4 linked regions of the Lepisosteus oculatus genome follow. The protein of the gene in region 1 interacts with the protein of each later gene in a pairwise test. Links are inferred from orthologs where the notes say so. Each region holds a gene or a part of one and is shown in the gene's direction. Other genes may lie near its edges. The genes, in order: tsc22d1, ccdc90b, aplp1 and setdb1a.

Region 1 (7,414 bases):
CAATAATTGCTTACACTTGCATAGTGCCTTTCTGGACACTCCACTCAAAGTGCTTTACAAGTATTGTGGACTCCTCTCCACCACCACCAGTGTATTGCACCCATCTACTGTAGATGATGCAACGGCAGCCAAAGTGCACCAATACACTCACCACACATCTACGGGGAGGAGAACATGAAGTAATGAAGACAATTTGTAGATGGGGATTATTAGGAGGCCATAATAAGACCACATAAGACCACAGGGTGAGCACCCCCTACTGGCCCCACTAACACCACTTGCAGCAGCAACCTTAGCTTTCCCAGGACGTCTTCCATCAGGTACTGACCAGGCTCATACCTGCTGAGCTTCAGTGGGTTGCCAGTTGAGAGTTGCAAGGTGATATAACTGCTGGCTAGTGTTTACTAGCTAAACTGCTATTAGCTATGTGTGCCTTTGCTTGACTGTATAATAGTGTGCAGTATACAAGCCTGTAAATCACTTTATCCAAATTCATCACACAAGGATAACTTTTGCAACAGACTTCAAAGTCAGAAGAATAAAAACATAAAAGATCTAATGTAAAAATGTTGTTGAAGAAGTTATGTTATGATAATGACCCCTAAATGTAAGAACAATTCTTGCTTACTGTATGTATGCAACTACAAAGATGAGTAGCAAGTATAACTTTACTTGATATTACTTTTACTATTATTAGTAATATTAATATTATTTATTAACAAGTATTTTTCTCAAGGTGGAAAACATCTCATTCATTTCAAAAACGCTTACTGTTATTGTGTAATTCTGCTGCCTCCTCTCATTGTGTGCTTTTTTCCTGTAAAGCATTTTGAGAAATCACTTCTAAAGGTGCTATAACAAAATCTATTATTATTACAGAGATTTTCCTGGCCAGGAGATGAGGCGTTTTCAGTTCTCAAATTCTTAAAAATAACCGGCCTCATAACCACCACTTTCTGCTCCTTGGAAGAACTCACCTCTCTTGGATCCCTTTGGAAAGCCTCCTCTTTCTCCCTAGCCAGGATGACAGCCAGCGGTTAAAGAAGCCTGTGCTCTGGGGTAACTCAGAGTAGCCTGGCCATGGGACATCAGCCACCAGCACTGGGTGACTTTGCCCTGCAGTGGGACAAACCACAGACAGCAAACACGCAGTTAAGATTGTCTACATGCCAATTAAGAGGAATGTATCTAAGATCGAATTTGGATCTTTCACAAAATTTCCAGCGATTTCAAGATTTTTCAAGAAGTAACGCAGCTCTGCTCCCCTAATCATATGTGAGACAGAGTGGTAGTGGTGCCCAGGAGTGTGGCAAGGCTGTGCGGCCAGTTTCATACAATATTAATGAGAGGCTCATTCACCCAGCAAGACTTGCAAGTCCAGGAGGTCTAACTGGCAGTCACTGTCTGTCCTTATCATATCAACCTTCTGTACTGTACTTCTGTGTCACACTCAAGTGCGGATTTGGCCACACTGTTTTCTCAAGAAGCACCAGGGAGGATGTGTTTGTTTTAGATATATCTGTTTTTTTTTTGGTCTTCAGTCTAAAAACAAAAATAAAACGGCAATCAACAGCAATAAAGGTAAGCATTAATACTCCTAACAAATACTGAGATGTAAGTAAACTTTGTGAGGGGGAAAAAATTGGAGTGACTCTGAAAGTACCACAATTAGATCATGCTATTTTTTGTGTTTTGAATGGCAACAGCTGAGTAGTACAGCGAAGCTATATCCTTTTTATCACCGTCTGAGAGCCTTGTTTACCTGTTTTGACAGCTCATTCGGTGATCATATGAAACCCACTCAGTGACCCCGGCTTCCATGTCACGTCACAATAGCAACAATAAAAGCGAAAGCTCTGGAAAGTGGGGTTCCCTAGGTGTCCACAGAACAGGTACTGCAGAAGCAGCAGGAAAAAGAGAATGCCCCACTGTATTAGTTAAGCAAACAGTGGCGCAGAATACAGACACAAGGCCGACACAATTATTCTTCTTCACTGTCGGGCCCATGGCACTGCGCACAACATTTCTCTAAAAACATATGGTCTCTACTTACTCTAGATTTTACCACAAAGCTGGAAATTTAAAATAATATGATAATATTGATAAAATTGAAAAAAAAAGCAATTTAGTAATGATGTCGGCACACACTGAGGTGAATTTCATTATTTGCTTGTTTTAAATGTGCTTTTAATAATACATTTCTCCTAGTGTCAGAGTGCAAAATAAGTTAACACCTTACTCCCATTAATATAGTGGAAACTGAGACTTGAATGTCCTAACTGAAATACAAGAACAGGTAAAGGTTCAGTCAATGCTGAAAAGTAAAGAAAAGAAACACAACATTTCAGCTGTGGAGCCTTCTTCAAGTGTGAGGGTAGCTGAGAAATAACTTGAACTTTAAACTAATTCTTAGAAAATAATACAGTCGTGTTGGATAGGACACAATGGTGCAGATCGAATTTGTTCTAAATATATATTCTGTTGTTTTAAGAGGACCAAAGTACCAGGCAGCATTGATCTTCGGAGGTATCCAGGTCATCTGTGGAGTTTTAGCTTCTACTCACATCACAAACTCTCCAACACTGCTTGAGAAAGAACTAAAGCATTCTGGTTGACAGGTCTGAGAAGCTAAGCAAGGCTGGAACAGATCAGTACTGGGATGGGAAACCTCCAGGGAAAATCGAGTCATTTCAGAGTTTAAGAAATGATCAATCCACCAGTGACCAGAGACACTCTGCTGCAGGGGGCCCCGTACTTGAGACCACACATTAACCTGAAGCCCCGATTGCTTGGTAATTAAAGATCTCATGGGCACTGTGGGCTATTGTGGGGGGGATAATTCTGGTGCCCTGGCAGATCTACCTAAAGACCCTCATTAATTCAGTTAGAGAAGCAATTTCTCACATCTCAACCTAACCTATGGTAATGGGGCTACTAGGTGGGTGCATTACTTCAGTGGTGGATGAAGTAGGTCCCCTCCTACAGTATGTACAAAATGCTTTGGGATCTTTCTGGAAGAAAACACTATAGAAATCCATCAGTCCTTGTACTGTTAATTTCAAATAGAAAAAAAATGGTATTTTCTAGTGGGACTGACATACATAATAGGTTATAGCTTTAATAGACTAGGAAATTTTAAAAAAATCTGTCCTGGTTAAGTTTTGTCAAGTAATTATTTTTTCTGGGGGGGAACAGTGCTGCAAGGCTTCAGGAAATTGTGCATTTAAAATTGAATCAACAACAGGGACCCTAGCAGGAGAAACACTTCTACTCTGACAATTGAAGGAAGGAAGAGAGAATATTGGTAACAATGTTGAAATCAAATTATTCTATCACACAAGATGAAGAGTCTCATGTATCTACTATTGATTCATCTGCTTTGCTAAGAATGAAAACATCATTTTACATATTTTAATGTGATATTTATAAATACTGCTCTTACACATTAGGAAATTGAATTAATCTTTGTAGAAAAAAAAAACTTTTTTCTCTCGTTTTATTAGCCAGGAATGGGCTGGGTGAATGACCCGAACTAAAAATCTCTAGAGATACATTATTCAGTTTTTAAGAATGATGTGTATTGTAACCCTGCTTGTATAACAATAGAAACAGACTTTGTATTTGACCTGTGCTCATTGTTTACCGTCTTCTGAGTGCTTGTGACAGTAGTATCCCTCGCCTTGCAAGACTGCTATTAACTGTAAACAATGAGTACTGACATTTGTTCTAAATGCCAGAAATCTGCGTCGTCATTTTCGAAAGTTCTCCTCATTCAGGAAAAAAAAATCCCCATCTTTTTCCTCAGTTTAGCCGGATACAGCATATTTTAAATAAAACATTCAATGAATGAAATGTATCTTTAATCCGAACCACGCATCTTTAAGACTTGCCCACAGGTGTACATTACAGTACAGAACCCAGTAAGACAGCACTGGTGTCTGCATACAGGGAGGGGGGGGGGGCTCAAATGTGAAATTAAGATGATGCGAGTGAGGACAACGCCCATGCAGTCGTAAAGAGATATGGTTAATTTCGCCGTTTGATTGTCCTACTGTGCCCTTTTGATTTCCAGTGAATAAACGTCCGACACAGTCCCATCACCTTGTCCCTCACCCCTTCTCGTCCTAACACACCCACCTTTTATTTCTCAACACACGGTATAAAGCCTTCAGAATCTGTGTCGAACAATGCTGTGTACATTCGGCACCTTTCGTTGGAGCCTCGTTTTTGTTCGACAGTTGCCGTCACTGGCTCTCGGTACTTTCCGGGTCAACTGCCCGAAGCTCTTTTTTTTGTTCGCTCTACCGCTCCCCCCCTCCCCTCCGCCTCTCCCAGACTGGCTTTATGTCTGGCTGCTGTGCGGCTGCACTGCGCACGCGTCTTCGCCATGTTAGCAAGCCCTCCTCCCCCTTAGTCTCGTCATAGTCGAGAGAGAAACAGTGCAAGAGGGCTGCTGGTGAAGAGAATCGGTGAGTGAGGGGTGATACAGCAATCATTGGATAAAAACAGAAAGATGAAAGCATGGATTAAACAACTGCCGTGACAGACAAAAAGGGAAACCTCTGTCCAGCACATTTTTGCACCGGCTGCGGACTGTTTCGTTTCATTTTTTTTAAAAAAAAGGGCAGTGATGGAGGTGATTTCATGGTGCACTATTGGTAGATATACATTATTTTCTCATTGCCATACGGATTGAAATTAAGAATATAAATACGCACATATCTGAAAGGGCTGAGAGATGTTGAACTGCGCCTAACAACGTTCACAGCCTACCGCGTCTGGATAATATAACGTTGAGGGCGCACCGCCGACTTTGTTTAGCAGTATATCTCGCAGGGGAAATATTTAAATAAGGAAAAAAAAGTTGAATGGCGGCGGCTTGAATTTACATTAGAAACGGTTTGGGCATTTCTTCGGTTTCATTATTTTGCGTAGTAAAACCTACCGCCTGTTCAGTACGTATACACACACGTACTTGCTACCTGTATTTACAACACTGAAAGGAACTACCCCTGGAATTTTACAAAATGCATCATCCGGAATCTGCAGGAGATTCTGCTAGCACTAGGAAGATGGCGCACCCGGCAATATTTCCAAGAAGGGGCAGTAGCACCGGCAGCGGCAATATCTCGGCTTTGGCAGCGGCAGCAGGTTCCAGCATTAGCAATAATGTCATTCCGCCTGATGATTACCAATCGCCCTTGTTAATACAGCCTCCACCCCCGGCTGGGTCTTCCTCCCCGGTGCCCCAGCATCCTCCCCAGAGCCTTAATCTCCTGTCCCAGTCCCAGCTGCAGGCTCAGCCTCTCCAGTCGGCCGGGGCGCAGATGAAAAAGAAAAGTGGCTTCCAGATCACCAGTGTCACGCCGGCCCAGATCTCCGTCAGCACCAACAATAGCATTGCAGAGGACACCGAGAGCTACGATGACCTGGATGAGTCGCACACGGAGGACTTGTCGTCCTCGGAGATCCTGGACGTGTCCCTCTCGCGGGCCACGGACCTGGGGGGTCCCGAGAGGAGCTCGTCGGAGGAGACGCTGAACAACTTCCACGAGGCTGAGACCCCTGGGGCCGTCTCGCCCAACCAGCCTCACCTCCCCAGCGCCCCGCCGCACCACCAGCTCCTTTCCCAGCAGCAGCAGCAGCACGGGGCCATGGTGAACGGGACGCACCACCACCATCACCCCGGCACCCATCACCACGGCCACCAGCATCACCACCCTCACGCCGCCGCCGCTGCCGCCACCCCCCCAGGAGCCCTGCCCTCTGCCCTGTCCACCCCAGGGGCAGGGGGCCCTCTTCCTGCCTCGGCGGCGGTCGGCCCCTCTGTCACGGCCGCCGCCGCCGCCACGCCTCTGCTCGGCTCGGCCCAGAAGCTGCCCGCCGGCGCTGGAGCGGCTCTTGAGAACGCCTCCGCCGTCCTGCCCCAGCCCTTGCCCGCGGGCGGCCCCGGCGGCATGCTCCCCGCTCCGGCCGCCGCCGCCGTCGGCATGGGTCCTCTGGGCAGCATCGCCAGCGGTGCCGGCGTGGGAGTCGGGAGCTCCGCCGGCGCGCCGGGCCTGGGGGGCTCCGGAGTCGCGGGCACGTGTGGCAGCGGCAGTGGCCTTCCGCCGGGGCTGATGAGCTTGAATGCCAGCGGGCAAAACGTCGGTGTGATGCAGCCACCAGGCGGCGCCAGTGTCGCGATGGGGGCCGCGCCGGCTTCAAGCGCGATGGCCGCCGCCGCCGCCGCAGGGGGCGGCCCGAGCGGCCTGGCAGCCCTGGTTCAGGCCCCGGCCCCCCAGGGCCAACCCCAGCAGACGCAGGTGGCGCCGCCCGCCGCCGCCAGCTCCCGCTTCCGCGTGGTGAAGCTGGACTCCAGCTCCGAGCCCTTCAGGAAGGGCCGGTGGACTTGCACGGAGTATTACGACAAGGAGGCCGCGGCTCCGGCGGCCCCTCCCTCCGACGGCCCCCCGGGCCACAGGCTGGTGGAGAGCCTGCGGCAGACGGCACCCGAGAGCGCGGCGGGGTCCGAGCGGGAGAGCACCAGTGGCAGCTCGGTCAGCAGCACGGTCAGCACGCTGAGCCACTACACCGAGAGCGTGGGCAGCGGGGAGGTGGGAGCCCCCTGCGTGCTGCAGGCCTTTCAGCAGCAGCCTCCCCAGCCCGCCGACTACAGCGGCCCTCCAGGGATGCAGTGTTCCCTGCCGGGCCTGCCCCAGAGCGGATCTCAGCCGCAGCTGGCTCAGGCTCACGTGCACGCCCAAGACGTGGTGCACTCGCTCCTGAAGACGAGCGGGGCCCCCTCCATCCCCGTCAGCATCGGCGCCATTCAGCAGCAGGCCCCGATCGGCCCCATGCAGGCCTCCGTGGGACATCCTGGGGCCGCCCTCCCCCAGCAGCAGTTGCCATATTCTCAGAAGACTGGCCAGCCTGCCCCTGCGGGCGTAGCTCCGCAGCAGATGGGATTCCCTGCGCCGCAGCCCTCTGCAGCTCCTACCCAGATGCCCCCGGCGCATGCCATGCCCGTGAGTCAAGGAGCCGGCCTGCCACCAGATTTCGTGCCCCACCAGCCCCTCCTTCAGACTCCTGTGCCGCCTGGGCCGCAGCAGCAGCAGCAGCAACAGCAGCAGCCTACGATGCCTCCTCTTCCTCACGTTTCGGGCGCGATGCCCCCTCCGGCGGTGACCGGGAACAGTCAGATGATGGCGGCGGGGCAGCAGCAGCCGGGGGGAGGCGGCAGTGGCGGCACCGTCCCCGCTGCGGTCGGCCAGCCCCCCTTGCAGGGAATCCTGCAGCAGTCGACGCCGTCGCCGCCCCAGATGGCCCAGACCGCCCAGGGCGGCATTCTGCCGCAGGTGTTGCCCGCCGGCGTGTCGGGGCTGGCGCAGCAGCTGGCGAAGGCCCATCCGCAGCCGCCGGGACTGCTGCAGCC
Region 2 (7,508 bases), on another chromosome or scaffold:
CGCTTATGTCTGCTTGCATCGTGTGCTGGATTTTGACATGGTCAAGAATGAATGAAGACCACGAATGAGCTGCGTCTTGAGCTATCAAAAACATAATCTATCGAAACGGCATGACCAGTAATTGTCGTTTCGAAAACTCGACATTCCCGGGTAAGATGGAAAACGCAGCTCGCGTAAACCGGTGGAACTTACTAAGTATTAATAAGCAGACCCTTCAAAAGAGAAATCCCCGCTGCTAAAGTCAGAAACCAGCTCCAGCCCTCAGCCACGGGCGCCGCCATGACAGTTCCTGAAACAAACTTTGTGTGCAACGGCAAAGAAAACCCGGACGGAGTGATGGCGCCGTCGAAGAACTGCGCACCCCCATCTCTGAACCCCCCGTGCTTTCGCAAGTCCAGAGTGGTTTGTTATTCTGGATATTTAATTAAATAACTGCTAAAACGATTTCGCCTTATGGAAATAGTCCAGCCCCCACCAATACGTGATCGTACATGCATTATTTATTATATAGTACCACTCTCAAAGCACAAAAATCTTTGGATCTATAACAACATAAACTAAATACATCACGACTAACTCGTTACCATTTGTTACGCTAAATACTAGTGCATAAATCTGCTTTTATACCAATATTTTCAGTCTCCGAAGAGACTGTCAAAAATTGCCGGCACTAGCTATATTTCAAGCCAGTACAAGCGGGGTATTGGGTAAAGTTTTCAACTAGCAATAATCGCGCCTCGGATAAACCTCATAGGCTACGATACTGCCACTGCGCAAAGCTAACCTACCGTTCCCCCAGTCTAACCACCCCATAGCAAACACAATGCGCACGCCTTACGGTGTTATAATGGTTCACAAACTTTAAACTTTATTTAATACCACGAGTATTAAAACACACACAACACTATTATAAAACACCTGTCTTCATTGTTAGGAATCAAAAAAACATGCTAAAACGAAACAATGTTAATTAAATCTTGTAAGTCTTGCAGAGCATCATGGGATGTAAAATGCAAATTAACCTACCTCCTCTGACTTCACCACGCAGAGACGTGAACATATAGCAAGGGAGTAGGTGGAGCTAGGAATCTACATATTAGTCGCTACCTCCTAATGAGCGGCTTTTTACACCACTGCTCTGCAATTAACCGGATCGAGTTAATTAGATGATAAATTTGTGAATGCTTGATTGAAAAGTGTCAGAATTTTATGGGCCCTTCTGAGCAACATCAAACATACACATGCTTCTAAGCACAAGCACAAACTGCTCGTTACTAACTGCAGATCAAAAGTTGGTAGTTATGTGTTTCAATTACATACTGTAGGACTACAAAATTAGGTAGTTTTAAACTAGCAACTATCCACAATTTGTCTGTCATGTAATATGCTGTCTTTTGCTGTGTGACCAGGGAACCATGAACCAGAGGGGACAACTGGAAACAAGCAACCCTATACAAATGCAGAAACTGAATAGGGCATTGTTTTTGCTGTGTGTAAAACAATTGTCTTAGTATTACACAGTATGTCTGGAATTCTTGTCGTGTATCCAGGCACAACAAAGGTTTCAGGTCTGAAATGATGCATTCACAAAACCATCCTATTTTCTCTTACAATACAAGCAGTTTTTAGGCACCTTTAAATGAGGAGTAAAAATGTATTATCTTCAATTTGAGAAACGTTACAGTCCTTTTCTTAAATTTTAATACTGTTTTGTGAAGAAATTTCACCATAAATAAAGGCACACTAAAAAGAGGCACAAGGACCATAGTGCATCATATAGTAGACATATTCAAAGACCTCATGGCTTGGTTCTGTAACTATATCATGCACTTGCTGTTGTGCATTATCACGCCATATGTTCTGTTCTGAAGCTGCCCCCAGATGTGGTTCTGCTATCTGTGTTTTAACAGCCTGCAGGGTCAACAGTTTCTGAAACAGCCAATTTGTTACAATAACTATAATACAATTAACACTTAAACAGTTCTTACACTTAATACAAACAATTCTGAACGGCATTTGTACAACATATATTTTAGTAGTATTAATTAAATGCAGTATTATATACTTATAACATTTACAATTAAATACATGTTCTCATTCTTTGCAAATCTTCATTTTCTTATAATCCATTCCCCACCATAAAAATAATAATTAATAATTGCTTACATTCAAAGCACTTCACAGGTGATGGGGACTCCCCTCCACCACCATCACTGTGCAGCCCCACCTGGATGATGCGACGGCAGCCATAGTGCACCAGAACACTCACCACACATCAGCTATCAGTGGGGAGGAGAGCAGACTGATGAAGCCAGTTCATAGTTAATAAGCTTGACAGGCCTACAATCACACCGAGATCAAACCCCTTGGAGTTGTGAGGCAGTGGTGTTAATGATCTCACAAATTCTCAGTGAACAGGGTTTTCTACGTTTGTTATATGTAAGTTTGATCATTTGTGAGAGTGTGTATTTATTGTGAGATGTTTTTTTCGGGTGGAATAAAGTTAATTTTGATAGAAAAGAAAAGGTTTTTCTAAGAACAGGCAATACATCAGACTGCATGCACAATAATATTGAAATTCATATTCTCAAAAAAGCATAAAATTTAGATTCACCCCATTTGTATAAAATGGCTGGGTGTGATCCTCCGATCAGTGAGCTACTGTGAGCTACTATTCTTACTGCGTGTCCTCATGAGCACCTGTAGCGAATCAACCGGACAGTCTTGGTGTTCGTGAAATCGTGGGAGCTGGGGTGAGAGGAGTCCATGCAGAAGCCTTGATTCATGGTTATTTTCAGAACCTCTTCCACAAAGGCCCGGAGACTGTTAACTTGCTTGTTAAAAACCCAGAGCCTTTTCAAATTCTGCAGGGTGTACTCTTCCTCCGGGAGGCCCTCTACAGCACCCACCCACTGCAGCGCCAGCCGATTCTGACCTTCGCCTTCGCCACACACAGGGGAAAGGTTGCCGTTGAAGAAGTAGCAGATCTGAATACCCAGGCTGCTCAGGAACGCACCCGAGGTGCAAAAGATGTTGGCTGAGAAGACGTCTATAGTCAAAGAACCGAGGCTGTAGGCCTGGGGCGCATCTGGTCCAGAGAGGTGAACTGCCTGCATTTTCTGATCCAGGCTGATGTTCAGCATGGTGTTCTTCTCTGATGCCAGGTCCTCAGCCTCCCTCTCATGCAACACTTCCATCAGAGGCTGAATCTGGTAGAACCCCGCCTCGCGTCTCAGGAGCTTCATCTCTTTGTAGTCATCTGGGAGGTCGAGGTGCGAGGACCTGAGAAAGTTGAGGATGTGACGGAAGGTTTTGCCATCCCGGTCAATGAAGAAATGGCCCTGCTGGTCCTTTCTGACTGGCAGCCTGCCCTTGAACATCGCACCCAGCACGGAGTCGGGAAACCGAGTTAAGGTGGCCAGAGAGGTAGTGTACAGCCTTCCTCCCACATTGAGAGTCACAAGGTCAGACATGATCAGCAAGCAACGGAACCTGGCACATTGGAACAAGTAAAGAAATTAGAGAACCACAGAAGCGTAAAAAGTGTATAAAAGCAGAAGAAGGGTTATTTCTGACACAGCAAGGACATTGGGTTAACAAAAACAAGAAAACAATTTACAAATCTGAGCCCTACAATTTTTTCCAAAGTGCTCAGAATAATCCAAAACCTTATGCTCGCTAACATCACAACATGTTTTATCGGCGTCAATATTTTGTAATTATACCTATAATTATACCAATATAATATTTTGTAATTATACCTACTTTTGTGATGTAGAAACAAAAATAATGCTATTAAAAATATGAAAAGGCGCGTCAGAGAGGCGAAGACGTGAAAAACTATGTTTATTTTCGAAATTAAGAGCTTCCAAATCTTAAACACGAATTCTCCTTCGCATAATCTATTTGCAAGAATCCGATCGTTATAGCAGTCGCGCAATCCCACAGAAATCCTAGAGAAGTAATACAAACATTGTTGGGTGTGTAGAGTAGACAAATCGCTGTGTTTACTGGGAGTTGAAGTCCCGTCTCAACGTTTTGCTTAAAGTTAAACTTGCTTCTCTGGCGAAAGAACTACATTCTTAATGGACTGTATTAAATAACCTTATCAGATGGCCAGAAGTCATAAAGGGGATAGGTGCCTATCACTGTGGCGCCTCAAGGGCACTGTTTTAAAATAATTTTAACATCCCATTGGGTATGGTTGTTTTTATTTTTTAAATTAGGGTCTTCTATGCTGTCATTACTAGAAAGCTCCGAAACCCATAGAAACGGTTTTATTTTGTCATATTGGAGCGGGTAAACAGAAACTTTGACCTAATTAAAGGAGGCGTTATTTTTGTGAAGTTTGGTAGTTTATGACCTTGTCAGGTTTCCGGTGTTACCAGACGCTAGTTGCCAGAAAGCGTACCAGAACCGCGCCAATAGAAAGGTGTAAAACAACTTACAAACAATTTTTAAACCGATTTTTAATTCTTAATAGGAACAAGTAAAGGTTTATTCTGTGCGGGAGGAGAGTCACAGCGTTCAGGTGCCATCTTTTCTGGAATGTTTTTTTTTACTATAATGCAGATATACTGTACGCATTTCCTACAATGAAATCCGCATCTCCTGTAATACGAAGCCCACGAAATGTTTTTGCACACTTGATCACTGGAACAGATCTTTCCACAGCGTCCCCAGCTCGCTGGGCGGTACGTAATTGTTGTCGTACAGTGACGCGAAAAATATTCCAAAAATGCCCGGATAATACAAGTACTCAGAAACCTGCAGGCTATGACCTGCAATTTTCACGGCATAAAAACCGAAGCAGAAATTGCCTTCTTACTTAGGAAATGAATATATACATATACTACTTTTAATTAATTTATGATTAAAGTTTTTGTTTTTTTAAGCGAGAAGAGGATCCACGGCATATATCAAGCATCATGAATTGCAGACATTGCAAAACTTTTCTATCTGTGCTGAGGAAGCCAAGTCGAGCCCTGTGTCTGCAACGTTTACCCACTACGGCGAAAGGTAGGTTATATTAAACACGGTGCAGTTTCAGAGCTCCGGGTGCAGCACTTGTCCATTCCGATTCATCGTAGGTAATGAATCCTTGTTTTTAAGTATATTTGTCATCCTGCACCAGAAATGATTGCCCAGTCGCAGATAAAACTGCTGCTGCCTTCGCAACCAACAGCTGACCAACTTTTTATGACCCTGAAAACTCTTGAATACAAGATCGTCTTCAGAAAGTAAAATCATTCAATCGAGTTCATTTTTACTGCCAAAGAAAACATGGTTATGGCTGGAGGAGATTTCACAAGTCTTGGTTTAATACAGCTACTGTTCCGTATCCTTACATCATAATGTCAACATACAAATTGAGATTGGTCGTTTGTTAGCTTTTCAGTTCAGCACACGCATGCATACGAGCATTTTCTGGACTTGCCGGACTTTCAATAAAGACAAATGAAATCCTCATTTTCTTCGTCGTTTACCTTTGTCTCAGGGTTTCATGCAGGAGCAGCTCAAAAAACGTATGACATGAGAAGAGTGGAGCTAACACCTCTTGAGCAGAGGAAATTGACGTTTGACACACATGCCCTGGTGAGAGATCTACAAGCCAGCGGTAAGTTGCTTTAAGTACAATAATAAATGAAATTTACGTGAGTATTTTTCCCTATCTTGATGTGTTTGTAGACTCAGATTCGATTCTTCTCTGTTAGGATTGTACTTGAAAGTGTTATGGGATTTTTTGTTGGGAACTACTTGATTCTTTAAATGTATATTATTCCATGTTTTGCCTTTCATACAGGCTTTGGAAAAGAACAAGCAGAGATTATTGTCACGGCGCTTGTAACACTAACAACTGCCAATATGGACATAGTGTACAGAGACATGGTGACTGGGGCACATCAGGTAAATAACTGAATATCTGACTTCTGTATTGTCTTCCCTCTTTACGTGCTGCTCTTACATACAGTACATGTTGGTTACTGATTTTTTTATTAAAAATTTGGTGGCAGGTCCAGATTAAATTTCAGAATCAGGGGTCTCAAACTCAGTTTCTGGAATTCTGTGTCTCTTGTTATTTCTTCCAGCCACACTCTCGGTTACATGATTGGTTTAATGACTTAACTACATAATTTTAGTACTTCTAAACAGGCTCTGAAGAGTGCTATAGATAACTGTACATTTGATTCATGTTTAGACAAGTGTTTTGAGTAATCAACTGTATCGTGTATTTCCTTGAGACAAAAAATAGAACAGTCTTAATCCTCGAAGAATTGAGATCCCTGCATTTATACCACATCCTAAAATTTTCCTGATTTTAAAATGGATTATTTTATCATCAGTTAAAATGAGTGGTACCTTCACATGGACATTTACAACTTCACATAATGTTCTGTTTTGAGAAGAATACTTCTCTTTCATACCGTAAAAGAGAATCTTTGTACTGTGCAATGAAGTGAAAAATTTAAAAAAGAAAACCTACCTCCTATATATGAAACTATAGATGTCCATAAACTATAATTGCCTATGTAGATCTAAAATGTCTAAGCAGTAGGAGAGCAATGAAACAAATGCTTTCCTTTTTTTTTTAGGAGATTGCTCTACAGCAAATAATGGCTCACCTGGATTCAATCAGGAAAGACATGGTTATTTTGGAAAAAAGTGAATTTAGAAACCTTAGGGCTGAGAATGAGGTACAGTATGACAGTAAGGCTGTGCGCAGCAAGTCTATAATTAGAACAGTCATTTTCACATGATGTTTGAATACTCTTGAGGTTTAATGCAGATGTTTAAGTAACACTTGGTCTTTATTCTTAGGTCATGTTTTTTGTTTCTTTTTCTAACATTACAATAATACTGATCATGGGAAGTGGACTTATGAAACATTTCAGTCTAATTCAATTCATTCAGCCAAGTACCACCATCTCAGATTGAATAAGGCTTAATCTTACTGTGTTCATTGTTCTGATGTTAAAATATGAAAAAATGCCACTATTCAGTTAACAGTGTGAACCAAAACTTGTTTTACAGAAAATGAAAACTGAATTGGAGCAGGTTAAACAGCTACTTATGGTAAGTGGTAACAATGGTAACTTAAACATAAAGTTTGTATGAAGGTGCTTAAGTTGCAAACACCGATTAACTATTGCACTTTTTTTTAAAGGAAGAAAGCCGGAAAATCAGAGCAGATGCCAAACTGGATATTAATTTGGAAAGAAGCAGAGTAACTGACATGGTAATATCTATGACCCGTGCATTCAAATTTCTAATGTTTCTGTGTGATAAAAAATCCCGAGATGCTATCAATATTGTTATCGTTATCGATAACATTGTTAGTTGGAGTAGAGGCATGGCACATGCTTGTTTCTTTACACAAATAGGCTTGTATCGTCTGGAGTAGTACTAGAAGCATAATGTAAAGGAGTACAAAAGTATGAAAATACAACCACATATCTGCTGAATTATCCTATTCCTCTGTGTTGTATTTAAAAAGTACTTAGATGTAT
Region 3 (7,429 bases), on another chromosome or scaffold:
TGTCTGACGAGCCCGGAGCGGACTCTGTTAATCATTGCAAACGATCTACACCGGGAAACTACTCCAGCTCGCTGTTTCTCCACTCCAGAGACCCTCCGATTTGGCATTCACAAAAAAAAATCACCACTGATTCATCTTGGTAATGATGATAATCATTCATCATCCTCTTACGCAACTTTTTCTCTAGAAAAGAAATATCCTCCCACACGACTGAACAGCGTGTGAGGGAGACGCTGCGTATACTGGCCACATTTAGACCTCCTCCGTCAGTTTCTGCCGGTTACCGCTGTGGGAAACGCGAATATTGTCAAGCCAAGTTAACGCTTGACATCACGGGGAGTTTAAAGAAATACCTTTACAGCGCTCGAGTCACGCACAGCCTCGGTTGTTTTGAGTTTCGCTGGTCAAGTCAGGAAGGTCATTTTAAACACTTATTTAATACGGCGACATTCAGGTCACAGTTTAATGGAGGTCTAAATTTCGATTTCTGAATGGCTGATCTCTGAGGACCAGGTGATATTTGCTCTACCTGCCCTCCACTCGTGATAATAAGCTCACTCCCCTGAAGCACCAGCGCTGAGTGACGGGGAACCTGGTCCCTTTCAGGGGGTCCCCCCTGCTCGGACCTCATCTTTACCCGCGTCTTTGTTCACAAACCGAACGACACGCCTCTTTTATAAAAACAGAAAAGTTAGAAGTTAGAAACAAACTCAAACGAGTAAACCAATAACAAACTTACTTCCGATTGAAACCGCACGGCTGAACTCATTCTGGCCGATCGGGGAGGGTGGCTCTCGGTCGAGTCGCTTCTGCAGTCTTTCCGCAATTCAGCGCTGCACCCCGAAACTCGTCTCCCCAAAACCTCCTGCTCGGGGACCGGGGGAAGTCAGGCGCAGCTGGAAGGATAAGTAGTGAGTCGCAAACGTGTGCGCAGACAGACGCTCACGCCCCCCGAGGAGCGCGGACGGGGGGACGCTCTTCGTGTCAGGTGGGGTGGTGCAGGTGTGGAGCTCAGCGCTGCCGGTGCGGGACGGGTGCGGTCGCGAGGAGCTCTGGGTGACGAGTCCGGGCTCCGGTGTGCGCAAGCCGTACCTGCCGCGCAGGCGTGTGAGGTCATCGCGCTGGCACTCGCCCTCACGCGCGCCCCACCCGGGCCTCTCCTGTGACGTATTAACCCCCTCCCCCCCCGCCACGCTCACAGCCTCCTAGAAAAAGGCCGACAGCGCGGTCAGCTCCTTGGGGCAGCTAACTCTGACCAGGCTGGGTGGCCCGATTGGCTCCTCTTGTTTGTAACCTTTCTTATGTTCTTATGTTAATAATAATTATAATAATAATTGCTTAGGCTTATATAGCGTCTTTCTGGACACTCCACTCAAAGCGCTTTACAGGTAATGGGGATCCCCTCCAACACCACCAGTGTGCAGCCCCACCTGGATGATGCTCCAGTCCTCTCCCACACACCAGCTCTCAGTGGGGAGGAGAGCAGAGTGATGGAGCCAGTTCAGAGAGGGGGGTTATTAGGAGGCCATGATGGGTAAGGCACCAGGGGGAAATTTGGACAGGACGCCGGGGTAACACCCCTACTCTTCTCGAGAAACGCCCTGAGGTTTTTAATGTCCACGGAGAGTCAGGACCTCGGTTTTAGGTCTCATCCGAAGGACGGCGCCTGTCTACAGTGTAACTATACTGGGGCATTAGGACCCACACAGACCGCAGGGTGAGCGCCCCCTGCTGGCCCCACTAACACCTCTCCCAGTTCTTATATCTTTATTAGTGCTGTGTGTCGCACAGTGTGGGGATTGTCGACGCTGGGATCCGCTGTACTGTTTGAAATGGTGTCACTCTTCGCGAGGGGTCGATGTCTGTGTGCTGTGTGGTGTAGAGCACAATGCAGCTCTCTCTCTGACTAAGGCGGAAGCTGGTGATGTGAACCACCGAACAAAGGGACTTGTGGGCTCCTTCACGCCGACACGCGTCCCACCCCGTAGACGCCGAATCGGGCTGCGCTGCCGTCACGATGTATGAAATCAGGGTCACGGGCGTGTCGTCGTGTAGTAGCATCGCCCCCCAAATTCCCAGGCATCTCGCGCGGCCGTCCTCGCGCCTGCTGGGGTTTAATCCAGGTCGCCGGCACGTTTTAAGGGACAGTTTACCTTCTCAGGTGATCATGAATTATCTCACGTCTGTCTGCGTGCAACACTCACTGTTACCGAGAGGACGTCGGCTGCAGTTGAGGTCTGCAGTTCACAAACTAACGATGAGTCACACGCTGCAGAAATACATGACAAAAATAAAAACAATTATAATCTATATAAATAATAACAGACTGTCGAAAGTGACTAAACCTAATTTAGGACGACCACCTGCCGACGGAGCTGTGGCTGAGGACTGTGTAATCAGTCCGGTGAAACCGCCCTACCAGCGCTGAGCAGATAAACGGCTCCAGCGCAGGAAATAAATTAAAGAAGAAAAAAGGGATGAAGGATTTTCTAACAGATCGGTCACAGCGGGTTCTTATAAGAAATACATTTTCAACCGAACTCGTTTTAAATACTGGTGTTCTGTCGCTTGCAGGGAACCTGGTTACTGGGGCCGCTGGAGAATCGCTCGGGGCAGATCAGTGAACTGGAAGGGTGTCGACTCGAACGTGAACCCCCACAGCTGGCTGCTAGCCGTTCAGCCCCTCTCCCTTATTGGTCAGTGCCTGTGGGAGGTTGTTCAGGGTTTCAAACACCTTGGACAGTTACACATGAACTTTTGAACTTTGCAGACAGCACCAGTTGGAAGTAAGTCAAAACACATCCAAAAACTGCCACACAAGTCAGATAAAAGTCAAGACTGCTTGCACACAGACGCTATCTAAATGCTGCTACCATCTTCTTTGACTTCTCGTCTTCTTTGTCTCCAAATAACTGTGATGCCATTTTCTCTGTCATCTGTCGTGTCATTTTGTCCTGTGAGGAACACGCAAGCGAGCTTTTCATTGGACTCAGGTACACAGGACAACAAACCTGGTCTTGAACCCTTGCATTTTTAAGAAGGCTAGTCAGCGCATATATTGATCAGGAAGCTGAAGGGGTCTGGGGTGAGGCACAATGGGTGTACAGAGGGTTTATAGAGTGTGAGCCTGAGCATTAGGAGTAAAGGCAATGAGACGGAATTGTTAATACTGCTAGGAAAGTGATTGGTTGACCACAGAAGCAGCTTAAAGTGCTGTTTTGTACTGCAGTTCAAAGAAGAGCTCAGCTCGTCCTGGACGCCCTCTCCCTCCCTCCTCACTCCCACCCCCTGTATTTACTGTATTGTTGAGTGGTATTTGTGTTCTGTAGTTGTTTATGGTGATGTCAAAGACAAATTTCCACCCTTTTGAATGCACAATAAAGTTATATAAATACAACACAATGAAACTCTGTCTAGATTTTTAGTTAAGCACAGAAAGGCCTGCGGGGGGCAGTGTAGCTCAGTGGGTAAGTCTCTGGACTCATGCCTGGGTTGGGGGTTCGAGCGCCAGCTGCAGACACTGCTCTTGTACCTTGAGTGAGGTACTGTACCCCATTGCTCCACTCCACCCCGCTGTGTAAATGGGGAGCCAGCATTGCTGGACACAGACACTGGACACAGGCAGACCTGGCTGTCCAGAGAGAAGACAGGCTCAGTGACCACAGCCTGTCCTCTCTGTCCATACAGAAAGCTGCAGGCTCATCATCAGCGTGTCCTTCCTTGCCTGAGGTGCTAGACACAGCGCTGTTTTAGACTCAACTGTTTCAGCCCACAGATCGTGTGTTTGCTTTATTGTCTAACTGTCATACAACTCTACGCACCCACCCTATACCTGAAACTTCGTGCTGATCTCGATAGGGAACCGAACCTCAGCCTGACCATGGCCCGGTGTTTCTGGGGCACCCGGGTCAGTCCTGGGCCGCTGGTGTTATATTCAGGATGAGTTCATCATACAACGCGCCTAGAGAATAACTTCTACTTCGTAAATAACGTGTCTGTGAGTGCCGCGTGCCTACGTTTTATTTTCTGAGAGCAGAGTATTATGGGTCGGGTAAGAAAACAACGGAATTCTCAATTTTGTAGCTGCCAGCGCTGTTGTCATTCCGCTGAAAGCAACATATCTGTGTATAGGAAGCTCCCCGGTATATTTCATTCGTTGTCAGAACGGCTGCGGTCAGAAAATGTCGAAAATTCGTGTAACACAAGCTGCCCACGCGGACCGTCCACGGTGAGAAAATCACGCCGGAGTGGGGGGGGGGGGCATGGGGGTCCTCGCGGAGGTGAGTCGAATCACAGCGGACCTGGATACCGGCCCCGTGCGCGGAGAGAGCCAATCCGCTGCCGGGCCGCCTCCCCGCTCCGGAGGGCGTCGCCCAGCTCGTGAAGCCGCAGTCTCTCGCCGGCGCGGCCAATCCGAGAGGCGCAGCGCGGTACAGCAGCGGACCGGCTGCTATTGTGCTGGAGAGAGAGAGAGCGAGAGAGAGAGAGCGAGAGATAGAGGAGGAGGAGGAGGGGGTGGCGGATTCAGTTGTGAGCAGAACACCAGCGCGTCGAGAAGCCCCGGAGCCTGTGATTGGAGCTCGGGCGAGCGAGGTGAAGACGCACGACACAGCGGAGCCGTCGGAGGTAGGCGCAGAGATCCCCGCGCCCGTCCAGAGAGCATCACCCGAGCCGCCAGGACACCGGCTGAGGACGCGGTTCGCTCCACTGCATCACCGAGGAAAACAGCGGATTGTCAGTAGCGAAGCAGACGGGAGCCGAACATGGGACCTGGCGTCTGCGTTTTTGTGTCTCTGTTCGCCTACGTCTGGGGGTACGGCGAGGTGAGTCCCTGCGGGCGTGCCAGGTGCGATCGGTGTGGTTGGAGTGATCGGTGTGGTTGGAGTGATCGATCAGTGTGTTTGGAGTTCGCACTCCTGCGCGTCAGCGATGCGCCCGAGCGGGCCGCGCGCTGTAGGGGCAGTCCGGGGAGGGGGCGCGAGAGCCCTGCAGGTGGGGGTCCCTGGCGAGCGCGAGGGGCCGGGGGTGCACCTTCGCCCTTCGCCCTTCCTTAGCTGACAGCGGAGCAGAAGAGTCGTAGGCGCAGAGCTCCGGGGGGGTGCAGAGGGACAGGCGCGGGCTGTGTAGGATGATGATGATGATGATGATGACGGTGGTGGTGATGATGGTGATGAATCGGTGTATATACTGTATGAGCACGCGTCTGCCATGTTCGTCCGTGACGGGGAGAGAGAGCGCGGAGACGGGGCTGGGGAGGGGGTAGCTACCATCTGGGATGTCGAGGTGATAAATGGGAGAGAGAAATTTCCTTGAACGTCTTTATTGCATCAGACCGAGGCTCGTGTGTTTTTTGTGAGGGAGGGGGGAGTCTGGAGATTTTACTGACACTAAAACCCCTGGAGAGGTTTCCCTGTCTAACTAATGAGCCGCTGGTGTTCATAGTCTAAACGTGGTCATCATTTCAAACACACAGGTATGGATGTAACGCATTACTAACACATGCGTGTGTGAGAGTGATTAATAGATCGGGCTGGGAAGATGGCAGACTCCTCTCCTGATGGCCGGGGCTGCAGGCAGCAGCAGTGTGCAGCTGTGTGTGTTGTCAGGGCTTTTGCACTGGGGAGTAAAGAGATGTTTATAATGAGAGTCGCACCAGTAAAGAGCTCTGCTGATCCAGCCCTGCTAATGCACAGAATTACATTAATCCCTATCGTCACCATCAGCAGCAGCACTGTGGTGGTGGATGTTTTTCTCATTATTAAGAGATATTTCGTTTAGCTCTCTGACATCTGTAGAAACAAATGCACAAATGAGGGAAAAGGCGCCTATAACAGCCCTGTGTTCTGGAAGCTGAAATACATGTGAAGTGGTGTTTGCATACAGAAAGCTTGAGCAGGTTCCCAGTTTCAGCAGCAGGACTAATGTCATCGTCATCCTCCTCACTGGCGCTCGATGGCTGAAGTCCTGTTTATTCAGAGGGCTCGGAGGCTTTGAGGATGAAGGCGGAAGGGAAGCAGCCGATGTTATTGGACTGGAAGTGTCAGCCAGCTGCAGAATCCACCCGGATGCACAGGATACACACAAACTTCCAGGCGTCTTCGCTCCCTGTAGCCCGATGAGGCCGGATATGAGCTTGTCGAGCTGTTTGCATGAAGGGGCAGACTGTTGGTTTTCAGCAGAGTTCTGTTAATGTACTAGATTCCACCTCAGTGGGATTTCTTCTTTTAAAAGATTATTTTTGCACATAAATGGTGTCAAAAACAGGGTTCAGTTCTAGCAGTAAATCAAACATAAACCCTGTGTGTATCACAGCACTCTGGACAGCGCAGGAAAACACAGCACTGTGCAGTAAATCACAGTGAGATCAGGGTAAAAGCACAGTACAGTGCAGCTCCACAGTGGCAGACGTCGGCCTGCACTGGGTCCACCGGTCGATATGGCCGCGGCCGCGTATCTGATAGAGCCTGTCCACCGGCAGCAGGGCGCCGTGGCGCGGACAGCACAGATGTAATCGCGCGCGGATGTTTATTTGCAATGTGACGGGCAGGCTGACACTTTGATTGAATTGCGGAGCAGGGCTCGAGCAGTCGGGACTCCCAGCTGTCTTTGATTCAAGGAGTCTGGGATTTTTGGGGAGTAACGTCAGTCACGATGTTGCCCCCGGGGGGCCGAACTGTGAGAAAGAGTTAGGCGCCGTTAACTACAGAGCAATTCAGTGTTCAGTGGGCTTTCATAAATAGGTTTATTTGATCCTTTTAGAATATTTCGGGGACGAGGTGGAAGTGTCTCTTTTCTTTTCAGAGCTTTATGCTTTGCTGTAAGAACCAAAATCTTACAAGCCGATATTTCTTACAACTGTGTTTTAAACAGCATCTTTTAATCTCTAAAAGAAATGTGTTTTTACTGAGAGTTTTATTGTTTTAGAAGTAAAGCCATTCCCATTTTGAAGGTAGTAAGATATCTTTACTGGTCTATAAAATATTACCTGATGTTTGAAAAAAAGCTGCATCACCTACTGTAGCTCAGAAAAAAACACGACTTGATTTGAAGGACTGGGTGAGTAATTCAAGGATTTTTTTTAACCACAGAAACCCAAGCCAGGACATGTTTTTAAAGATGAGAAATGTCACGATGAGGTTGGCAGTTGGGTTAAAAACACACAATCTTGGCATGAAGTCATGTGTTACAATTTCTCTAAGATGAGATCTTATTTCTGAGAATCTCATTAAGATAACAAGGCTAGTAGGCAGAGACTCTTGCTGGAATAATGCAGAAAGTAAAACAAAATTTAATTTAATTTGTTTCGAACTTAAATATTTAATATTTAGGAAAAATAAGAAGGGAAGAGGACAGGGTTCAATTCCTGGGGGTCTGTCTGTGTGGAGTCTGTATGTTCTCTCCATGTTTGTGTGGGTTTCCTCCAGGTGCC
Region 4 (7,825 bases), on another chromosome or scaffold:
CCCGGGTTACCAGGGGCCCCACCCGCACTCAGCCCGGACACCTCCGACGCCATGTCTGGGAGAGAGGGAGAGAGAAGGAGGGTCACACAGTGTCAGTCTCCGGCCACAGCGAGACCGCAGAGCGCCCAGACATCGGTGCCTGAGGAAACGGGCCACGCTCCCAGTGCACAGCAGTCTGATCCACTCCAGGTTTTACAGTGCTGTCAGTCAGACTCCCAGTGCACAGCAGTCTGATCCACTCCAGGGTTTATAGTGCTGTCAGTCAGACTCCCAGTGCACAGCAGTCTGATCCACTCCAGGTTTTACAGTGCTGTCAGTTAGACTCCCAGTGCGCAGCAGTCTGATCCACTCCAGGTTTTACAGTGCTGTCAGTCGGGAATCATCATCAAGGCTACTTCTCTGACACTTTGAAGCGCTTTTCCTTTTAGCTTCAGCTGCTGTCCTGGCCAGTGAACGGACCAGCGCGACGCGAGTCACAGAGAGCCCCCTCCCCACGCACCCACCCAGTGCCAGCACCCAGCCGGCTTCAGACATCGCCTCGGCGAAACCCTCCCGCGACAGCCAGTCAGTCGGACAGCGACAGGAGAGAGAGGTTTCCTCCCTCCGGTTCGCCAGACGTCCCTGTGGGCTCGGGAGTGACCGGGCTGTCCAGGCTGTGGCGGACAGCCGGGCTCCAGCGGAAAGACCCCCCTCCCCAAAAAAAAACCCCGCCCGGTGACCCCCAGAGCCCCCGGCTCTGCCCCGTGAGGGCTCAGGGCTGGCAGGCCTGTTCTGACACCCCCGGGACACACACTCGCCCAGGGGCCGCACGCAATCGACGGGCTTCGTACCTGATGCCGAAGTCGAGGCCATGAACGTTAGAAAACATCCAGCCCTCGGCGCCTCCGCACGGTGTGGGACAGCGTGAGACACGGGTTGTCGGTTTTTTTCTTATTTTTCGAAAGATACTTTTTTTCCTCTTATGTTTTTGTTTTTTAAAAAAAACACACAGCGAAAACCCTCCCTTGAAACAAGATGGCAGTCTGGAGCGGAGGCCCGCGCGTCAACCGAACTCTTTGATTACAAAACGGATTAAAAACGTGTTAAAATGATGGGCGGTGCCTCTGTCCAATCAGTGATGACAAAGATTGGACGTACCTTTCTTTTGGCCAATAGAGATTCGGAATCTAGCAAAGGCAACAGAGAGATCCCGCCTTTCACACCAGGCTAGAATGATCTGAGGGGGCGGGCCGAAATCGGTGACGCCACACAGAATTGTTTAAAGGGACAGTCTGGGGCGGTTTGAGTGTTTTTAATCGAGATCTTTTGTATTTTTCCACAGGAAATGCGCTTGTTGTGAAAGATATTTCGACATCTGGTATTTGTCATCCTCCGCGGTCCCTGCAGGGAGAGAGTGATTTTGTGGAGAGGCGAGTTTCTGATTAATTATGTCGAGTACAGACCTGCAATCTCAGTGTTTAACATAAACACAAACACGAGAACAGGAACAAAAGGTGAAGGAGAGGAGCTACTTTTCCGTCAATTGATCCTAGAAGCGTTAAAGAAAACCCCAACCCTCTCTCACAATAATGTTTTATGTGGTGTATGCAAATATTGTGTTGATTGTGTCTGCTTTGGTAACACGTCATTCTTCTCATGCCAATAAAGCTCTTTCAGAAGTTGAATTTGAAACCAGGGTATCCGCTTCAGTAACGCAGCTCATTAAATCCTACAGTATTATGAAAACATTTGCTTATCATTCCTGTTCGTTAGCTTTGCAAAGGGGCCGTGGGGCAGCTGTTTGCTGACTCATCCCTGCACTGAATAACTTGTCACAGAAATCTTGTCCTTTGTAAAGCCCAGTGAGATCGGGGTAAAAGCACAGTACAGTGCAGTGAAGCCCAGTGAGATCGGGGTAAAAGCACAGTACAGGGCAGCCCAGTGAGATCAGGGTAAAAGCATAGTACAGTACAGTGCAGTACAGCACAATGAGATCAGGGTAAAAGCACAGTGCAGTGAAGCCCAGTGAGATCAGGGTAAAAGCCCAGTCCAGTGCAGTACAGCCCAGTGAGATCAGGGTAAAAGCGCAGTACAGTGCAGTAAAGCCCAGTGAGATCAGGGTAAAAGCATAGTGCAGTGCAGGATAGCCCAGTGGGATCAGGGTAAAAGCACAGTACAGTGCAGTACAGCCCAGTGAGATCAGGGTAAAAGCACAGTGAGATCAGGGTAAAAGTGCAGTACAGTACAGTAAAGCTCAGTGAGATCAGGGTAAAAGCACAGTCCAGTGCAGTCCAGCCCAGTGAGATGAGGGTAAACGCAGTAAAGAGTACACTAGCAGTGTCTGCTGCTGGTCCAGAGTCTGTGAAAGAGGAGCTGGCTGGCTTCACGCTGTCTCCACGGGGATGGCCCCTGTCTCCCAGTACTCCCATGAAGCGTGACGGGTTGCCGTGTGCCGGGTTACACGGCTCGGAGCAGGTGCCCTCTGTGGAGCGGGCCGCGGCGGCACCGCGCCGGGATCGGGTTCCCCTCGGCAGCGGGCCGGGCCGAAAGACAACACCAGGAGCGTGCTGAAGTATTCATGAGCCGGGGGGGACAGTGGCGCACACGAGGAAAACTCCCGCAGCCGAGCGCAGAGGTCCAGAACGAGCTGGATCGCTCCGGCAGCAGTGCATCCCTGCAGACCCTCCCGAATCCCGAAGGCAGGAGCGAGCGGCGAGGCGATACCGCCGCTGTGTGACCACACACACTAACCAGGGCATGGGTAAGTGTGAGGCCGCCGTTTCCCACACACACACCGGCTGATCCGCCATGTTCCCTACTGGAGTTCTGGGATCTGGCCTCGGAGAGGCAAGAAGTCACTGCATACGCTGTTAAAATTCCTTGAATTTCCGATTAAGGATTGTTTCGTTTTTCCCCAGCGTGTGACAGTGTTGGGTTCAGGGCACGTTTATGCTGCTTTCACTAGCTAGCTGCCCTGTACAGGTGTTAGCGCCAGGGTCAGGGGTCAGGGGTCAGGGGGTCACCCGTACCTGCGTTCCATAATGAGCCCCCTCCCGTTCCTGCACAATGGGACTCACCCCCCTGCGTCTCTCAGTCTCGACAGGGCTCTGCAGAACCCCGGTCCTGAGCCTGTAGCTGGGACCCAAACCGAACTGGATCCCACTGGGCCACTGCTGAGCCACCACCCCGCTGGAGGACCGGACTGGCGTCAGAGAGCGACTCTCGCACTGCCTGTCACGCACACTGCCTGGGGCGGACCGAGAGACCCGCGGGTCACTCTGCTGTTTGATTCCTGGGCTTTTCTGATTGTTTAATATGTTTACAGTAATAACATGGAGTTCATCCAGTTCGACGAGACTTTGCTCAAGTGAGGAGACCTGACAGGTCCAGGTGTTAAGGTCTTGTTACACCGGGAGGACAGCCGGTCCAGTGGATAAGACACAGGGCTGTTACACCAGGAGGACAGCCGGTCCAGTGGATAAGACACAGGGCTGTTACACCAGGAGGACAGCTGGTCCAGAGGTGAAGACACAGGGCTGGTACACCGGGAAGACAGCTGGTCCAGTGGTTAAGAAACAGGGCTGTAACACCAGGAGGACAGCTGGTCCAGATGGACACGGATGCCCCTCCCCAGCTCCCGGTGGACGTTGACAAGGGCTTCGCTCTGGCCTTCCTCTTCCTGCTGTGCTTCTTCCTGCTGGTGACGGTGGTGCGCTGCGCCCAGATGGTGGTCGACCCCTACAGTGCCATCCCCACCTCCACCTGGCAGGAGGAGCAGATCAGCAACTGAGGCTGAGAGCAGCACCCCCAGCGGCTGGGAGACTGGGGGCAGAGTGGGAGACTGGGAGACTGGGGGCAGAGTGGGAGACAGTGGACAAACTGGGAGACAGGCGGTAGACTGGGAGACTGGGGGCAGAGTGGGAGACTGGGGGTAGACTGGGAGACTGGGGGTAGACTGGGAGACAGGGGGTAGACTGGGAGACTGGGGGCAGAGTGGGAGACAGGCGGTAGACTGGGAGACAGGGGGCAGAGTGGGAGACAGTGGACAAACTGGGAGACAGGGGGCAGAGTGGGAGACAGTGGACAAACTGGGAGACTGGGGGCAGAGTGGGAGACAGGCGGTAGACTGGGAGACAGGGGGCGGAGTGGGAGACAGTGGACAAACTGGTAGACTGGGGGTAGACTGGGAGACTGGGCGCAGAGTGGGAGACTGGGGGTAGACTGGGAGACTGGGGGCACAGTGGGAGACAGGGGGCAGAGCTGGAGACAGGCGGTAGACTGGGAGACAGGGGGTAGACTGGGAGACTGGCGGTAGACTGGGCGACGGGGCAGGGCTGGACCATGGGGAGCAGTGTGCAGTTTTATCCAGACCAGGAGTTGCTGAAATAAAAGGATCTGGAAGAACGACTGTGTTTTGTGTCCTGTCTCAGAATTCCCAGCTCTGACCAGGAGGAGTGCACTGACCCACTGAGACAGAGTGGATTCTTGTACATTTATAGGTATCTGTGCCAGGCATTGACAGCCACGCTGCTTACACATTGCCCTGCTCAAGAATAATGCGTTCAGCAATTACAGAAGAGCTTCGACCACGTGTTGTAAACTCTAGGCATACAAACCCTTGACAGGTCAGCTCCCGCCAGAACCTCTGGCTGCACTGATTGGTTCAAACCGACGCCTATCACGGTTTAGCGCTCTTTATTGGACAAACCTGCCATCGTCGGAGGGGCCTTTCCTCTTACCTCACGCTACTGTGGAGCCTATTGGTTGCCTCCCCTATCACTCACGTCGATCAGCATTGCTGATTGGCGCTCATTAGGTCTGGGGGCGTGGCGACGACTGCAGTGGGCGTGTTCCCTCATGGACTCTCTCTGGGAAGGGGGAGAAAGGGAGACAAGCTCGGAGACTGGAATCTGGCTCAAAAATTTCTTTATGAAATAGCGAAAGAGTAATATCTACAGTGACCCTCTACCGGCGAAACGCCTTGGAAGGAGAGGTAATTCTGGTTAAAACCGGAGTCGTTTGTCGTTAATTTCTCAGGTGGGCAGACGTCGTTTTGTAGAGAGGGGACATCTGCGATAAAGAGCGAATGCTTACAGCTAAATTTGTCCAAATTATGGCTTTCGGTAACAACGTTTATTTCGTAAAGATAACCCCTTACTCTCATATTTACTGCATATAATCACAAATATGTAACTATATAGTTTTTTTTGTGAGAAATTAAAAGAACGCGATGAGGTGTTTTAAATTCGCCCTCACCTTACGTCAGACCCGCGCGCCCTGCGAGCGCAGCGCATGGTATGCTGGGAGTTGATGTTTTCTTCGTCGTAACTCTCCTTCGTATTTAAAGAATTGCGGGAGATAAAAAACTACATTTCCCATGACGTTCATTTGCCGCAGTAACACCGCCTTCATCGCCTTCAATGGAGGTGCTCAATGCAGATGACGAGTTGTTTTTAAAATACATTTATATTTTGAAGTCTTCCTTCCGCAAAGGTTTTGGATCTAAATCAGTACCCCTCGTTTCGTCTCGTCTCGCAGCCGAAGCTGCTGCTAATTCTAAAAGTGTGGAAAATTGAAAACGTGCGTGAGGTTAGTAGTGATCTCAACGAACTTCAACAACCTTTTGTGTAAAATTAGTTCTGCTCTACGCGTAACATCATTGAACACCTGAAAACGTTCGCTGTGTAGGTTTCTGCTATAGTCCGGTGTCCGAAGCCCAAGAACACTGTAGGACCTCTGTCCTGCAGCCACAAGGTCGCCACATCACGTAACATGTGTACTCATCTCTAGGTCAGATACTCAGCAGTAGGAGGTGTACTCCTTCGGTATTAATGTTAAACAGAAGTCCTGCTGGTCACTACAGACCCCAGGACACTGTCAGTAAGAGTGGGGTGTTGACCCTGGTGTCCTGACTACTGGTCACTACAGATCCCAGGACACTGTCAGAGTGGGGTGTCAACACCAGTGTCTTTTGGATTCCTTTGGGGTAAAGGGGACTGTAGTTTTCTTACAATGTTACACTCACAGCAGTGTACCTCTCTCTCAGTGCAGTGTTAATGTACTGGAGTGTCCAGTCAGTGTGTCTGTATGAACCCCTCTCTCTCAGTGCAGTGTTAATGTACTGGAGTGTCCAGTCAGTGTGTCTGTATTAACCCCTCTCTCTCAGTGCAGCGTTAATGTACTGGAGTGTCCAGTCAGTGTGTCTGTATGAACCCCTCTCTCTCAGTGCAGTGTTAATGTACTGGAGTGTCCAGTCTGTCAGTGTGTCTGTATGAACCCCTCTCTCTCAGTGCAGTGTGTCTCGGTGCTGTGTGTCCGCTGCTGCAGATGGACGAGGTGGAGATGGAGCAGGAGCTGCAGGAGGAGCTGGGTGTGTCCCTGGACGAGCTGCGGCAGTGGGTCCGGGAGGAGATCCTCAGGAGCGAGGCTGTGGCCAGGAAGACGGCCGAGCTGGAGCAGCTGGAGCGCCAGGTGCAGCAGAGGGAGGCGGAGGTGTCGCGCGTGGACCGGCTCTTCGACACCGCCTTCCAGTGAGTGACCTGTCCCCGGGACAGCGCTGTCAGGGGGTGTCCTGTCCCCGGGGCAGCGCGGTCAGGGGGTGTCCTGTTCTGAGGACAGTGAGTGACAGGTCTCTCTGCTTGTTCTGAGGACAGTGTGGCCAATGACTGGCCTTGAGGTGTGTCCAGTGGTCAATGTGGTCAGTGAGTGACCAGTCCTGTGGTGTCCCCCCAGGTCGATGCAGGAATGTGAGGGCCTGGTTCGAGACCTCTACTCCAGCATGGGTCTGACGTACCGCGACAGCAGCTCGGACGATGATCAGGGGGATCGTCTGGCCCTCAGGCCCTCTGAGGTCATCGAGATCGATGATGATGACGACGACGATGATGTTGTGGCTGTGGGATGCAGTACGTGTTGAATACGAATTCCTTCCCTCTTATATAGCACCTTTCACACCAGAGGATCCCAGAGCACAGCCTCCCATGAGCTGCACAATCTGAGTTGCCTGGACAGGCGCCTGCTGGTGTCCAGCTGTATTAAACCAGAGGTCAGGCACCAGTCTGGTGTCCAGCTGTATTAAACCAGAGGTCAGGCGCCTGTCCGGTGTCTGCCTCTTCAAGGCTCAGGAATATTTAGCGTGAAGAATCATCCCACGCCTGTTGTTTCTGTGTGCAGGGCACTATATAAATTCAAAGAAACAAGTAAAGGTTTATTCCATGCTGAAAAGAAAAGAAAAGAAACGTTTGTGTTTCGGGTGTGAAGAAGGCTCCACAGCCAAAACGTTGTTTTTCCTTGATTCTCTTTTCAGCAGGAATAAACCTTTACTTGTTCCTTTGCAGCCGACGCACACTGACACAGGTACCTGCTTGAGCTGTATAAATTCCATATTGATCTCCTTTCCTGTCCCTCCATCACAGTCACTCCGGCCCACCCGAATGTCACCTCTCCAGCCAAGAAAGTGACCACCCCCGTCAAGGATTCCACAGTGAGTGTCTGGTCACTCTTTCTCCTCCTGCTGTGTCCATAGTCTCCTGTTCTCTTCTCTGTGCTGTCTAAACAGAGCGAGGCTTTCTGTGTGCTGTATAGTTTTGGGCTGTGTGTGTGCGCTGTGCAATATCGTGCTGTGTGCTCTGAGGCTGTGTGCTCTGAGGCTGTGTGCTCTGAGGCTGTGTGCTCTGAGGCTGTGTGCTCTGAGGCTGTGTGCTCTGAGGCTGTGTGCTCTGAGGCTGTGTGCTCTGAGGCTATGTGCTCTGAGGCTGTGTGTGTGTCCTGTATAGTTTCAGGCTGTGTGTGTGTTTTGTACAGTATTGGGCTGTGTGCTTTGATGCTGTGTGTGTGTGCTGTACAG

What was found.
Region 2: the proteins of tsc22d1 (region 1) and ccdc90b interact in a two-hybrid assay, tested with the Homo sapiens proteins (2 studies listed by BioGRID and IntAct). The link is inferred for Lepisosteus oculatus from reciprocal best matches to the Homo sapiens genes TSC22D1 and CCDC90B.
Region 3: the proteins of tsc22d1 (region 1) and aplp1 interact in a two-hybrid assay, tested with the Homo sapiens proteins (2 studies listed by BioGRID and IntAct). The link is inferred for Lepisosteus oculatus from reciprocal best matches to the Homo sapiens genes TSC22D1 and APLP1.
Region 4: the proteins of tsc22d1 (region 1) and setdb1a interact in a two-hybrid assay, tested with the Homo sapiens proteins (2 studies listed by BioGRID and IntAct). The link is inferred for Lepisosteus oculatus from reciprocal best matches to the Homo sapiens genes TSC22D1 and SETDB1.

The regions. Positions count from the first base shown.
Region 1 is NC_090710.1:16,242,439-16,249,852, forward strand, and holds the start of tsc22d1 (TSC22 domain family protein 1), read left to right. Parts: upstream 1-4,406; 5' UTR 4,407-5,027; coding exon 5,028-7,414. UniProt on the Homo sapiens protein: Transcriptional repressor. Acts on the C-type natriuretic peptide (CNP) promoter. Acts to promote CASP3-mediated apoptosis.
Region 2 is NC_090700.1:9,250,795-9,258,302, reverse strand, and holds the start of ccdc90b (coiled-coil domain-containing protein 90B, mitochondrial), read left to right. Parts: upstream 1-4,495; 5' UTR 4,496-4,595; coding exon 4,596-4,694; intron 4,695-4,895; coding exon 4,896-5,019; intron 5,020-5,497; coding exon 5,498-5,617; intron 5,618-5,803; coding exon 5,804-5,907; intron 5,908-6,593; coding exon 6,594-6,695; intron 6,696-7,032; coding exon 7,033-7,074; intron 7,075-7,165; coding exon 7,166-7,237; intron 7,238-7,508. Other genes in the region: alg8 (dolichyl pyrophosphate Glc1Man9GlcNAc2 alpha-1,3-glucosyltransferase), read right to left, coding at 193-281; BTB/POZ domain-containing protein KCTD21, read right to left, coding at 2,691-3,492, 3,973-3,974.
Region 3 is NC_090722.1:11,189,510-11,196,938, reverse strand, and holds the start of aplp1 (amyloid beta precursor like protein 1), read left to right. Parts: upstream 1-4,418; 5' UTR 4,419-4,763; coding exon 4,764-4,823; intron 4,824-7,429. UniProt on the Homo sapiens protein: May play a role in postsynaptic function. The C-terminal gamma-secretase processed fragment, ALID1, activates transcription activation through APBB1 (Fe65) binding. Couples to JIP signal transduction through C-terminal binding.
Region 4 is NC_090722.1:6,979,388-6,987,212, forward strand, and holds the start of setdb1a (histone-lysine N-methyltransferase SETDB1-A), read left to right. Parts: upstream 1-4,807; 5' UTR 4,808-4,972; intron 4,973-5,005; exon of another isoform or gene 5,006-5,568; intron 5,569-6,269; exon of another isoform or gene 6,270-6,274; 5' UTR 6,275-6,306; coding exon 6,307-6,509; intron 6,510-6,711; coding exon 6,712-6,884; intron 6,885-7,394; coding exon 7,395-7,462; intron 7,463-7,825. Other genes in the region: aryl hydrocarbon receptor nuclear translocator-like, read right to left, coding at 1-55, 831-852. UniProt on the Homo sapiens protein: Histone methyltransferase that specifically trimethylates 'Lys-9' of histone H3. H3 'Lys-9' trimethylation represents a specific tag for epigenetic transcriptional repression by recruiting HP1 (CBX1, CBX3 and/or CBX5) proteins to methylated histones.